Linked DNA regions of Macaca fascicularis. The protein of the gene in region 2 purifies or fractionates together with the protein of the main gene of each other region. This does not show direct contact. Links are inferred from orthologs where the notes say so. Each region holds a gene or a part of one and is shown on either strand. Other genes may lie near its edges.

Region 1 (5,069 bases), about 85 Mb from region 2:
AGGAAAGAAAAGGACACTTTCAGTCCTTAGATTTTCTTTTTTTTTTTTGAGACAGAGTCTTGATCTGTCGCCCAGGCTGGAGTGCAGTGACGCAATACTAGCTCACTGCAACCTCTGCCTCCCACCTCACCCTCCCAAGTAGCTGGGATTACAGGCACCTGCCACCATGCCCAGCTAATTTTTGTATTTTTAATAGAGATGGGGTTTCACGATGTTGGTTGGCCAGGCTGGTCTTGAATTCCTGACCTCAGGTGATCTGCCCCCCTTAGCCTTCCAAAGTGCTGGGATTACAGGTGGGAGCCACAGTGCCCAGCCTTCAGTTTTTAGATTTTTTTAAGAGATGCCTTTGGCAGTTACATCAATTTTAGCAGATGTTCTTATACATGAAAACTATTTTGCCAGTTGTATATAAACAAAAGGCATATCCAACTTGCAGTAATCATTAAAGAGAATGGAGTACCCCACCTGTCTTTGGATACTCCCATGTCAAAACTCACCTCAGAACCACTACTACTTAAAAACGTAGGCCTTCCATATGACAAGACTGGTACCACTAATCATCTTAAATTTTCTGGATATTGTGGACTTTTTAAACCAATCTCATTAGTGGCATATTTACATGGATTTTTAGAGAAAAGGCACTTCCCCTTTAAAGAAATCAGTCTCTTTGGCTGATCTTGGCCACTAGTCTTCATCCACTGACCAGAACAAGCTATAACCCATGTGTGTCCAAACTTGGGCTTTAAAAGCACAACTGTTAGCACCTTGGTTACTTCAGTGGTGACTGGAGTTACTCTGGCTGTTCTCCCAAAGCCTTCCCAACTTTACAGGGTTATCACAACATTAGCTAAGTATGGAACTTAGCTGTGGAACAGAAAGGACTGGGGGGACTGTATGTGTTAGTCTCACCTAGAAACATCTTTAATACTGAACGTTCAATTACCTAGGTAATACCAGCTGAGAAAATTGATGGAGTATTTGCTGCCTGTCAGAGTGGCTCTTTTGACAAACTAGAAGCTGTGGTCAAGGTAAAGTCAGCTTACTAACTTTGGGGAAAGGAATATTAAATGATCATACCAAAAGTTTTTTTTTTAATAGGACTTAATAGATGAGGGTCATGCAGCAACTCAGTTCGTCAGTCAACTCCATGATGTGGTTGTAGAGAATAATTTATCTGATAAACAGAAGTCCATTATTACAGAAAAACTTGCCGTAAGTAGGTACTTTGCACATGTCAATTAAACATTTAACTACCTGAAGGATGCTAATTTCTTAAATTTTTCTTGTAGGAAGTTGACAAATGCCTAGCAGATGGTGCTGATGAACATTTGCAACTCATCAGCCTTTGTGCAACTGTGATGCAGCAATTATCTCAGAATTGTTAAAAAGTGAATATATTTTGATGTGGGGTTTTGTAAATAAGGGGGTTGTAATAAAAATGACCAAAAGCACCTTTAAAGTGAATATACAATTTATTTAACATTCAAACTTCATTAAGACATGTGCAATATGGCAATTTTACTGGGGATTAAACCCTACCTAGGATGATTGCTTGCTGGGGCTTAGCAACAGGGTCCAGTTCACACTTAGCACTAATTAAATACTTTATTGAATAAATACAATACCAAACAAAATGCATTCAAATGCTTTCTAAAAAAATTTTAAAGGCCTTTCTACTCAGGCTAATGACAAACACAATAAAGGCAGATATGCTAGTTTAACATAATTGGCTGATTTTATACAGCACTTATATCTTTTAGTCCACAAGTATATTATTAAATGATAGAGAACATCTAATACAACCATTTCTACAGAACTAGGAAATAAATTTCTAAGAAAGAAAGATTTTACAGACCCCATCTTTTATACCCACCCCAACAGTCTAACTCTAAAGAGGATAAAGCCAATGACTTTCCTCACAAGAGCTCACGACTAATGTCGCTTTGCTATCAAAATCTGTATTTCTGATCCGTTATGAGCATTGAGACAAGATTCAAATATTCCCAAAGAAAGAAGCACAATGCACGTTGTGATCGCCTATTCAGCAACAGCGAGCACTGCATCCAAAACTCTCATCCCAGGAATTAAATAAGGTCAGCCACATTCATGGGCATCTCCTCCACTGTAGTATTGTAGAAAGTCTCAATGTCACGAAGAATCCTCTTGTCTTCTTCAGTAACAAAGTTTATAGCCACACCTTTCCTCCCAAATCGACCCCCTCTGCCAATTCTGTGTAAGAAAAAAACAATCAGAATGTTACTTCTCACATAATTTATGAACTACTGAACATGACGATCCACTTGTTAACCATCAGCTGCTGTTTACTTATCAAGGTTATAGTTCGTGCTTCTAACTGGAGCACTAGCTGCTAATGCATATCTAGAGAAAAAAATCTTCCTTTGCAGTTAGTGCCAAAAGGATTCAAGGCTTGTCTGGCTGCAAAATGAGATTTTTATCAGGCATCTTGAGCATTATTATAAAGCAGATGACAGTATTGTGTTTGGGGTAGTGAAATTAAAGCCCATACCAAAGTGGGCCAGCCAAGAGCAGGTGTCAGCCTGGGACAGATGTAAACACCAGGAATAAAAGAGCAGTTATGTAATCCATTTCGACGCACTTCTGGAACTGTAAACTGTAAACAAATGCTGCAAAGGTTAACTATTTTCTAAAACTTACTTTTTTCCAGTGGGAAAACAAGTTATTTGGTATGGTAACCCAAACTTATCACTGCTTTTTTGCTCAGTTTCACACGTTGTAACTCAAATTACTCAAAACGTGTTTAACCGCCAAACAGCTACCTTCATGTTAGAAACCAGACAATACAAACCACCTAGTAAGAAAAGTTCCCTAACAGAAATACTAATACGAAAGATGCCTCAGCTGGAGCAACTTAAAATAAATAATCATGACAAAAGAAAAACAAATATAAATACCGACTCGCTCTTTATTCAAACAGTGTGCTGTTTCGCTTATGATTCCACGTCCTAAATTACGTCAACGCCGTTTCTGAGTGCCATCTCGTCATCAACTGCTGCTATCGACTCCTGTATTTTTTAAAAAGTCTTTTTTTACATCACATAACAAAGTACGATTCAATTTATTTAGGGATAAAGCCACTATAACTAAACCAGGGTTCACTCAAATTGCTACCAGGCGACACCAAGAAAATCCCAACTATGGAAAAAATCAAGAAAAAGCACATGGACACAAGAACATCACTAAAAGCTCAAGCATAAGCTAAGACCAACAATTGCGGGGGAAAAAAAAACCTATGCCCACAATCTGAGCAATGTTTACAAGTTTTCCCACTTTGTTCTCGTCAGCCTTCCCCTAGTACAAATTTAATTACATCATCTTACTGAACACTACTGACTTGACTGAATCTATTCCTTGATTTGATGTTACCTTTCATACAAATCACAGTAGAAAAATGTATGAATTTTTTTTCAATACATCCAAGATGCTGGCTTCTCACCTGTGAATATAGTTTTCACGATTGGTAGGTAGATCATAATTTATAACCAAAGACACTTGTTGCACATCAATCCCGCGAGCCTGAAACACAATGGCATATGTTAAAAATTCTAATTCAAAAAACATGGTACCTGTCATGTAGGCCACAAAATAGTAGCGAACTATACTAAGTGGTATAGCCCACTGTGGAGTGTGGTCCTTTTACTCTTCCAAATAGCCCAAGCTGGCAAAGGTTACTTAAAAACCTTCCCCCCAAAAAGCTAACTTTTGGTAGATTTTTAAAAAGCATTAAGAGACTTACCAACAAGTCAGTAGTGATCAGAACACGACTTGACCCTGACCGGAATTCCCTCATGATAACATCTCTCTCCTTCTGGTCCATGTCACCATGCTGCAAATTAATAAACCTTAATTCAAGAATCACCAGTCAGGTCAGTAATTTTAATCAACATGTATGAGACCAAGCGTCCCTGGCTGCTACAGGAATATAGCAGACAGGTATAGTTAAGAAACAACTTTATTTTGAGCAGGGGGAACGACAACACAGCACTTAGCAGCTATATTGTAGTCTGAATCCTGCTTTAGTGGAAATCCAGACATTTTAGAACACCTCTTACCAGAGCAGAAACTGTGAAGTCTCTGGCATGCATTTTCTCAGTCAGCCAGTCCACCTTGCGCCTTGTATTGAGAAAAATAACAGCTTGCGTAATGGTCAGTGTCTCGTACAAGTCACAAAGTGTATCCAACTTCCATTCCTATAATGTTTAGAAGAGAAAGTTAACAGTCATTTAGCTTTTCCAACTTTCTTCAGTTAAAAATACATTCTGGGCCAGGCACAGTGCTTATGCCCATAATCCCAGCACTTCGGGATCCCAACACTTGAGCCCAGGAGTTCCAACCAGTTTCCAGATAGTGAAACCCTGTCTCTACCCAAAATACCAAAATTGGCCCCTCTTAGCCAGTCTCAAAACGTAGGGGTCTAATGAGATATTGCACCAAATCTTAAGACAAAGGACATTGGACATTAAGAAAGAGGTCCATCCCAGTCTTTACAATCTAGTGCTGTTACTTTTCTTCTTGTGTGTACTCTGCTAGCATTATTGCAAAAACCAAGACATAGTCCTAGTGTCTGCAATTTTAGCACAGTGCTTATACAAGAAGGTAAAATAATGTCTAACAATCAGTTACCTCTCTCTCAACATTAATATAAAACTGTTTGATTCCTTCAAGGGTCAATTCTTCCTTTTTCACCAGAATTCGAATTGGATCTCTCATGAATTTTTTGGTCACTTCCAACACATCAGTTGGCATTGTGGCAGAAAGCAACACAACCTTGAAAAGAGAAAATTATGTTGTAGAACAACTTACACAGTAATACCCAAGAGAAAATGTTTGAAGCCAAGCGTCTCTGTCTCACTACAGAATGGAGTTAGACAGAGATAGTTATGCATCAAGTGCTTTAAGCAGGGGGAACGACAATAAAACACGTCAGTTGTATTGTAACAGTACCTGCATTAAACCCCATCTGTACCTTTAAGAGGGGAGTGAAGTAATGCTTACCTGAATACTTGTGTTTAGTTTTTGGAAAATCTCAT
Region 2 (5,333 bases):
ACAACATATGTGGAACGCCCCTGGTTGGGGAGGGGGAGAGAAGGAGTTGAGGGAGCTATGAGTTCCATATCAGACTCCAAAAAGAATGGAGGTCAAGACAAGACAAGCCAACTCTGGGCAATGATCAGAAGTAAGTCCCACCTCTGGAAAAGGAATGGAACTGGAGGGTCAGGGTGAGGGAAGTGAGAAGTATATGGGTCTGTGGCTTCTAGGCTCCAAGCCCCCAGCCTCACCTGTCCAGGGATGTAGTAGGCCCCCTGGGAGGCTGGGTAGGAGATCTGGGAAGGGATCATCATTACTTGGGATCCAGCAGGGTAGACATGGGCAGCTGGGCCAGGGCGGGCAGGGGCTGCGCTCTGCACTCGGGAGGCTGCACTGCTCGGGGGCTGGGCCCGGCTAGGGTAGAAGTGCTGTCAGGAGGGAGGAAAGCAGTTGGCATTGTAAAGAGGAAGAAGTGGACAAAACATAGCCACTCCACAATGTCTCTATAGCCTGGAAAGTACTGTGGGCTTCAGAACATCGAGACCAATCCTTCCAAGACCACTTGACCAAATGGTTAAGCAGCTTCTTGAACACACACACACCCTCCAAATTCAGATGTACAGTTTGCATCCTGTATAGATTTACTCTCTCACTGCCATGCTTACGCATGTCACCTGTACCAAACTACCCCTCTGCAGAGGCTTCCTAACACCCAGATGCATCATGCCTAAGTAAGGCCCTTTCGGGCAACATACCCCCAGCATGCACTGCTCCACCAGCATGTAATGAGGAGCTAACCATAACATGCAACAGCCTCCCAGTCCCCAGATGCGCCTTCTTCAAGATGTAGCCCCTAACATGCATCACTCGGCGTCCAACTGAGAACCTGGACACCAAACAAGTCACCACCCTGAAGACTCCCATTCCCTGTGTCTAGCCCCTGACTAGGATGGAGGGTAAGGATGAGACCAGGAGACCGTCCAGGGTTAGGAAAGGGGTATTACCTGCAGAGACCTGAATCCTCCCTGAGAGCACATGGGGACAGGAAAGAAGAGAATTATCCCCAAGGTGATGGCGGGGGGAGGGAATGAAGGCAATAGGACAGGACAAGAATCCTCCCACTTAGTAAGGAAGAAGTTGCGGAACAGAGAAAGGCAAGGACCAGCTGAAGTGTTTACCTCACCACAGTCCAAAGAGAAAGCAGAGAGAGCAATAGAGCAATGGCAGCCTCCGGTAAAAGGAGCAAATAGGAAAGCAAGAGTTGGCAGCAGGGCCCAAAGCACTGCCCCCAATTCTTAGATGCACTAGGATCCCAGTAATGCCACCCTCATTGACAATATACTATCCAAGGGACCAGCCACCGTAAGTAATCAACAGGGCAAGGCGCAGAGCCGCATGAAAGAACACAGAGGATTAAGGCCAGGTACGGGGCCTCCAGTTTCCATCTTAGGCCTAAATTGGCCAAAGCTTTCCACTGCTCCCACCCAGAACCCCTACTCCCCTCCCCACAGCCCCTCACCTGGCGGGGCTGAGAAGGCGTGTTCATTTGTGTCGCTTGTGGCGTACTGAACACCACCGGCGCTGTCTGCCCCGGGGGAAACGCTGGCTGAAGAGGGGAGACCAGAGTTCAGCAAGAGGGGAAGCCCAGGTGGGGCAGAAACCCAAGCTGGTGAAATAAGGGGAGCAGATCTGCGGCAAGAGCCTTAACAATCCACATACCCCCTCCCCGTGACAGCCCCCGGGGACAGCCCAGGGGCCCTGTCTCAATTTGGCAGCAGGCGGCTGCACTTTGCCCTGACACAGATGGGGGTAGGAAAATCCAGAGGCTGGAACCTGTTCCTGCCCGACTGCCTGGTCTCCCCCACCCCCACCCCTGCTAATTCCTCCCTAATTACCTGTGGGAGTCCGGGGGATGGGGCGGGTGGGGGGCCTGTGGACTGTGGAGCTTTGTTCATTTCATTTGGTGCCACATCAGGGTCCCCCCAGCACCTGTTGGGAAAGAGTGGCGCTCAGGAAGAGGAAAGGACCCAAGCTTAAGGCAAATGGGGCGGTAGAAGGGTTGATGCAAGGCTGGGTCCCATACGGAGTCCCAGAGATGCCAAGAGGGTGAAGCAGAAAAGATAGAGCCTGTCCCCACCAACATGCTGTCAATCCCACATCACTTCCAACCAACCCCTGGTCTACTCAAACAGTCCCCTCACTCACCCCCTCGATTAAGAATAAGTCCACGGTGCGGCCTACAGGTTCTGGGCATCCGAGGGCCTGGGGTTGGGAGGTGAGGGGTATCAACCTGGCTCCGCGGGGCCCAAGACCAACCAGACCGGAAATTCCAGGTCTCGCTGGCACCAGGCTCCCGGATCACGAACGGAGCTAGCTGCTTCGGCCGTGGTGTCCCCACCCCCCACCCGGGCACACCGGGTTCGGGCCTGGCCCAGGGGCACACAAGATACGCCTGCCGCCAGGGAACCCGCACTGGGCCAGAAGCTAGGCCTGCCGCCGCCCAGGAGTGTAGGCCAGGAAGGGCGGGAGTCAGGCCCTAAAAGGCCAGGCGGGCGGCGGCCGTCGAGGAGCCGGTTTCAGGCAAGTGAGGGTCGGCCCGGAGGGCGGGCGGGGCCGGGGGCTCCTCCCTGCCCGCCGCCACCTCCTCCCTCCCCTGCGCCCTCCTTGCGCAGCGCGGGCCAGTGCCAAAGAACAACGTGTCACTTCCCGGCGGCCCGGCCGCGAAGGGGGGAGGGGGCGGCGGGCCGGGAGCCGTGGTGCCTGCGCCCGTGGGCTGCCGGGCCTCCTCGGGTCAGGCCGAGGTGGCATTTCGCTGCGACGAACCCGGCGCCCTCCCAGCCCGCGGGGCCCGCATAGTCCGGCCCTGCGCTCCCCACCCCCACCCAGCAGCCAGGCCGGGCCGGGCCAGGCACACGTGGGCCGGGGATCGGGGCCCTGGCGGGCCGGGGCCCGGGCTCGGGCCGCGGGGCTAGGGCGCCGGGGCGGCGGCGCAGGGTGGCCGGTCCCGGCCCGGATGGCGGCGGATGCGGGGGGAGGGGGTGGGGGGGCCGGGTCGGGCCCGGACATGGCGGCTTTACCTTCAGTCTCCTTCAGTCCGCGCGGCCGAGCCCCACGCAGCCGCACAGACGTAGTCCACAACCATTTCCGGCTCCCCGCACAGATCCCGCTCGGCGGCCACCGCTTCTCCGCAGGCGCAGCCGGCGCCCCCACGTGACCGGCGCAGGGGGCGGAGCCGCGCCGGGCGCTCTGCGTCGCCGAGCACATGGGATTTGCCCCGCCCCGTCACATGACAGCCACAGCCCGCCCCCGTGTCCCCTCCCGAACTTTGAGACTCCCGGACCGACTCCCCTCTGGGTCTCTGTCTGTTCCGCGATTCTTCAGTTCATTCATACTTTAAGCAACCATTTATTGAGTGCATGCTAAGTACAAGGCGAAGTGCTGGTTGGGGCCTGAGAAACTGAAATTAAAGACTTGGCAAAAAAAAAAAAAGGCGGGCGCAGTGGCTCACGCTTGTAATCCCAGCACTTTTGGAGGCCAAGGTGGGCGGATCACGAGGTCAAGAGATCGAGACCATCCTGGCCAACATGGTGAACCCTCGTCTCCACTAAAAATACAAAAATTACCGGGGCGTGGTGGCGTGTGCCTGTAGTCCCAGCTACTCGGGAGGCTGAGGCAGGAGAATTGCTTGACCCCGGGAAGCAGAGGTTGCAGTGAGCGGAGATTGTGCCACCTCACTCTAGCCTAACCTGGCGACAGGGCGAGACTCCATCTCAAAAAACAAAAGAAAAGAAATTAAAGACTCGGTCTTGCCTAAGTAAATCGTGATACAATACAAATTATGCAGGCTTTGAAAAGAATTTAGATTAGGCCATTGAAAGGGCTATAACAAAGGAAATTAAAAGGATAGAAACATTCTAAATAGGCCAAGTAGTATGAGATTTGTGGTTTAAAAAGATCATGGGCCGGCCGCGGTGGCTCACGCCTGCAATCCCAGCACTTTGGGAAGCCGAGGCCGGCGGATCACGGGGTCAGGAGATCGAGACCATCCTGGCCAACATGGCGAATCCCCCGTCTCTACTAAAATACAAAAAATTAGCCGGGCCTGGTGGCGGGCGCCTGTAGTCCCAGCTACTCAGTAGGCAGAGGCAAAGAATTGCTTGAACCCGGGAGGCGGAGGTTGCAGTGAGCCGAGATTGTGCCACTGCACTCTAACCTGGCGACAGGGTGAGACTCCATATCAAAAAAAAAAAAGAAAAGAAATTAAAGACTCAGTCCTGCCTAAGTAAATCGTGATACAATACGAATTATGCAGGCTTTGAAAATAATTTAGATTAGGTCATTGAAAGGGCTATAACAAAGGAAATTAAAAGGATATAAACATTCTAACTAGGCCAAGTAGTATGAGATTTGTAGTTTAAAAAGATCGTGGGCGGGGCGCGGTGGTTCACGCCTGTAATCCCAGCACTTTGGGAGGCCGAGGTGGGCGGATCACAAGGTCAGAAGATCTAGACCATCCTGGCCAACATGGTGAAACCCCCGTCTCTACTAAAATACAAAAAATTAGCCGGGCCTGGTGGTACACGCCTGTAGTCCTAGCCACTCGGGAGGCAGAGGCAGAGGCAGAGAACTGCTTGAACCCGGGAGAGGGAGGTTGCAGTGAACCAAGATTGCGCCACTGCACTCCAGCCTGGATGACAGTGAGACTCCGCCTCAAAAAATAAAGATAAAAAATAAGGCCAGGCACGCTGGCTCACGCCTGTAATTTCAGCACTTTGGGAGGCCAAGGTGGGCAGATCACCTGAAGTCTGGAGTTCGGGACCACCCTTGCCAACATGGTGAAACCTCATCTCTACACTAAATAGAAAAATCAGCCTGATGTGGTGGCAAGCACCTGTAGTCCCAGCTAGTGGAGAGGCTAAGGCAGGAGAATTGCTTGAACCTGGGAGTTGGAGGCTGCAGTGACCTGAGATCACGACTGCACTCCAGCCTGGGCGACAGAGTGAGACTCTGTTTCAAATAAATAAATAAATAAATAAAATATAAAAAGAGCAGACACTCCCACGGAGGGGCAAAAGCGTAAGGATGGAAGAATAAGGACGGAAGAGAAGTAATCCTAAAACTGACAGCCAGCCAGGGGCGGTGGCTCACACCTGTAATGCCAGTATTTGGGGAGGCTAAGGCAGGCAGATCACCTGAGGTCAGGAATTTGAGACCAACCTGACCAACATGGAGAAACCCCGTCTCTACTAAAAATACAAAAATTAGCTGCGCATGGTTGCACATGCCTGTAATCCCAGCTACTCAGGAGGCTGAGGCAGGAGAATTGCTTGAACCCGGGAGGCAGAGGTTGC

What was found. The genes of interacting proteins can lie anywhere in the genome.
Region 1: the proteins of EIF4G1 (region 2) and EIF4A2 purify together in Homo sapiens (affinity purification with mass spectrometry; 6 studies listed by BioGRID and IntAct, with this or other methods). This does not show direct contact. The link is inferred for Macaca fascicularis from reciprocal best matches to the Homo sapiens genes EIF4G1 and EIF4A2.

The regions. Positions count from the first base shown.
Region 1 is NC_088376.1:11,705,611-11,710,679, forward strand, and holds the end of EIF4A2 (eukaryotic initiation factor 4A-II), read right to left. Parts: coding exon 5,035-5,069; intron 4,990-5,034; exon of another isoform or gene 4,863-4,989; intron 4,807-4,862; coding exon 4,663-4,806; intron 4,638-4,662; exon of another isoform or gene 4,460-4,637; intron 4,230-4,459; coding exon 4,092-4,229; intron 4,057-4,091; exon of another isoform or gene 3,925-4,056; intron 3,866-3,924; coding exon 3,776-3,865; intron 3,749-3,775; exon of another isoform or gene 3,610-3,748; intron 3,556-3,609; coding exon 3,476-3,555; intron 3,045-3,475; exon of another isoform or gene 2,934-3,044; intron 2,230-2,933; coding exon 2,085-2,229; 3' UTR 1,454-2,084; downstream 1-1,453. Other genes in the region: RFC4 (replication factor C subunit 4), read left to right, coding at 948-1,028, 1,099-1,212, 1,290-1,385. UniProt on the Homo sapiens protein: ATP-dependent RNA helicase which is a subunit of the eIF4F complex involved in cap recognition and is required for mRNA binding to ribosome.
Region 2 is NC_088376.1:96,234,779-96,240,111, reverse strand, and holds the start of EIF4G1 (eukaryotic translation initiation factor 4 gamma 1), read right to left. Parts: upstream 3,191-5,333; 5' UTR 3,060-3,190; intron 2,247-3,059; exon of another isoform or gene 2,188-2,246; intron 1,972-2,187; 5' UTR 1,938-1,971; coding exon 1,878-1,937; intron 1,649-1,877; exon of another isoform or gene 1,589-1,648; coding exon 1,502-1,588; intron 1,008-1,501; coding exon 987-1,007; intron 411-986; coding exon 234-410; intron 21-233; coding exon 1-20.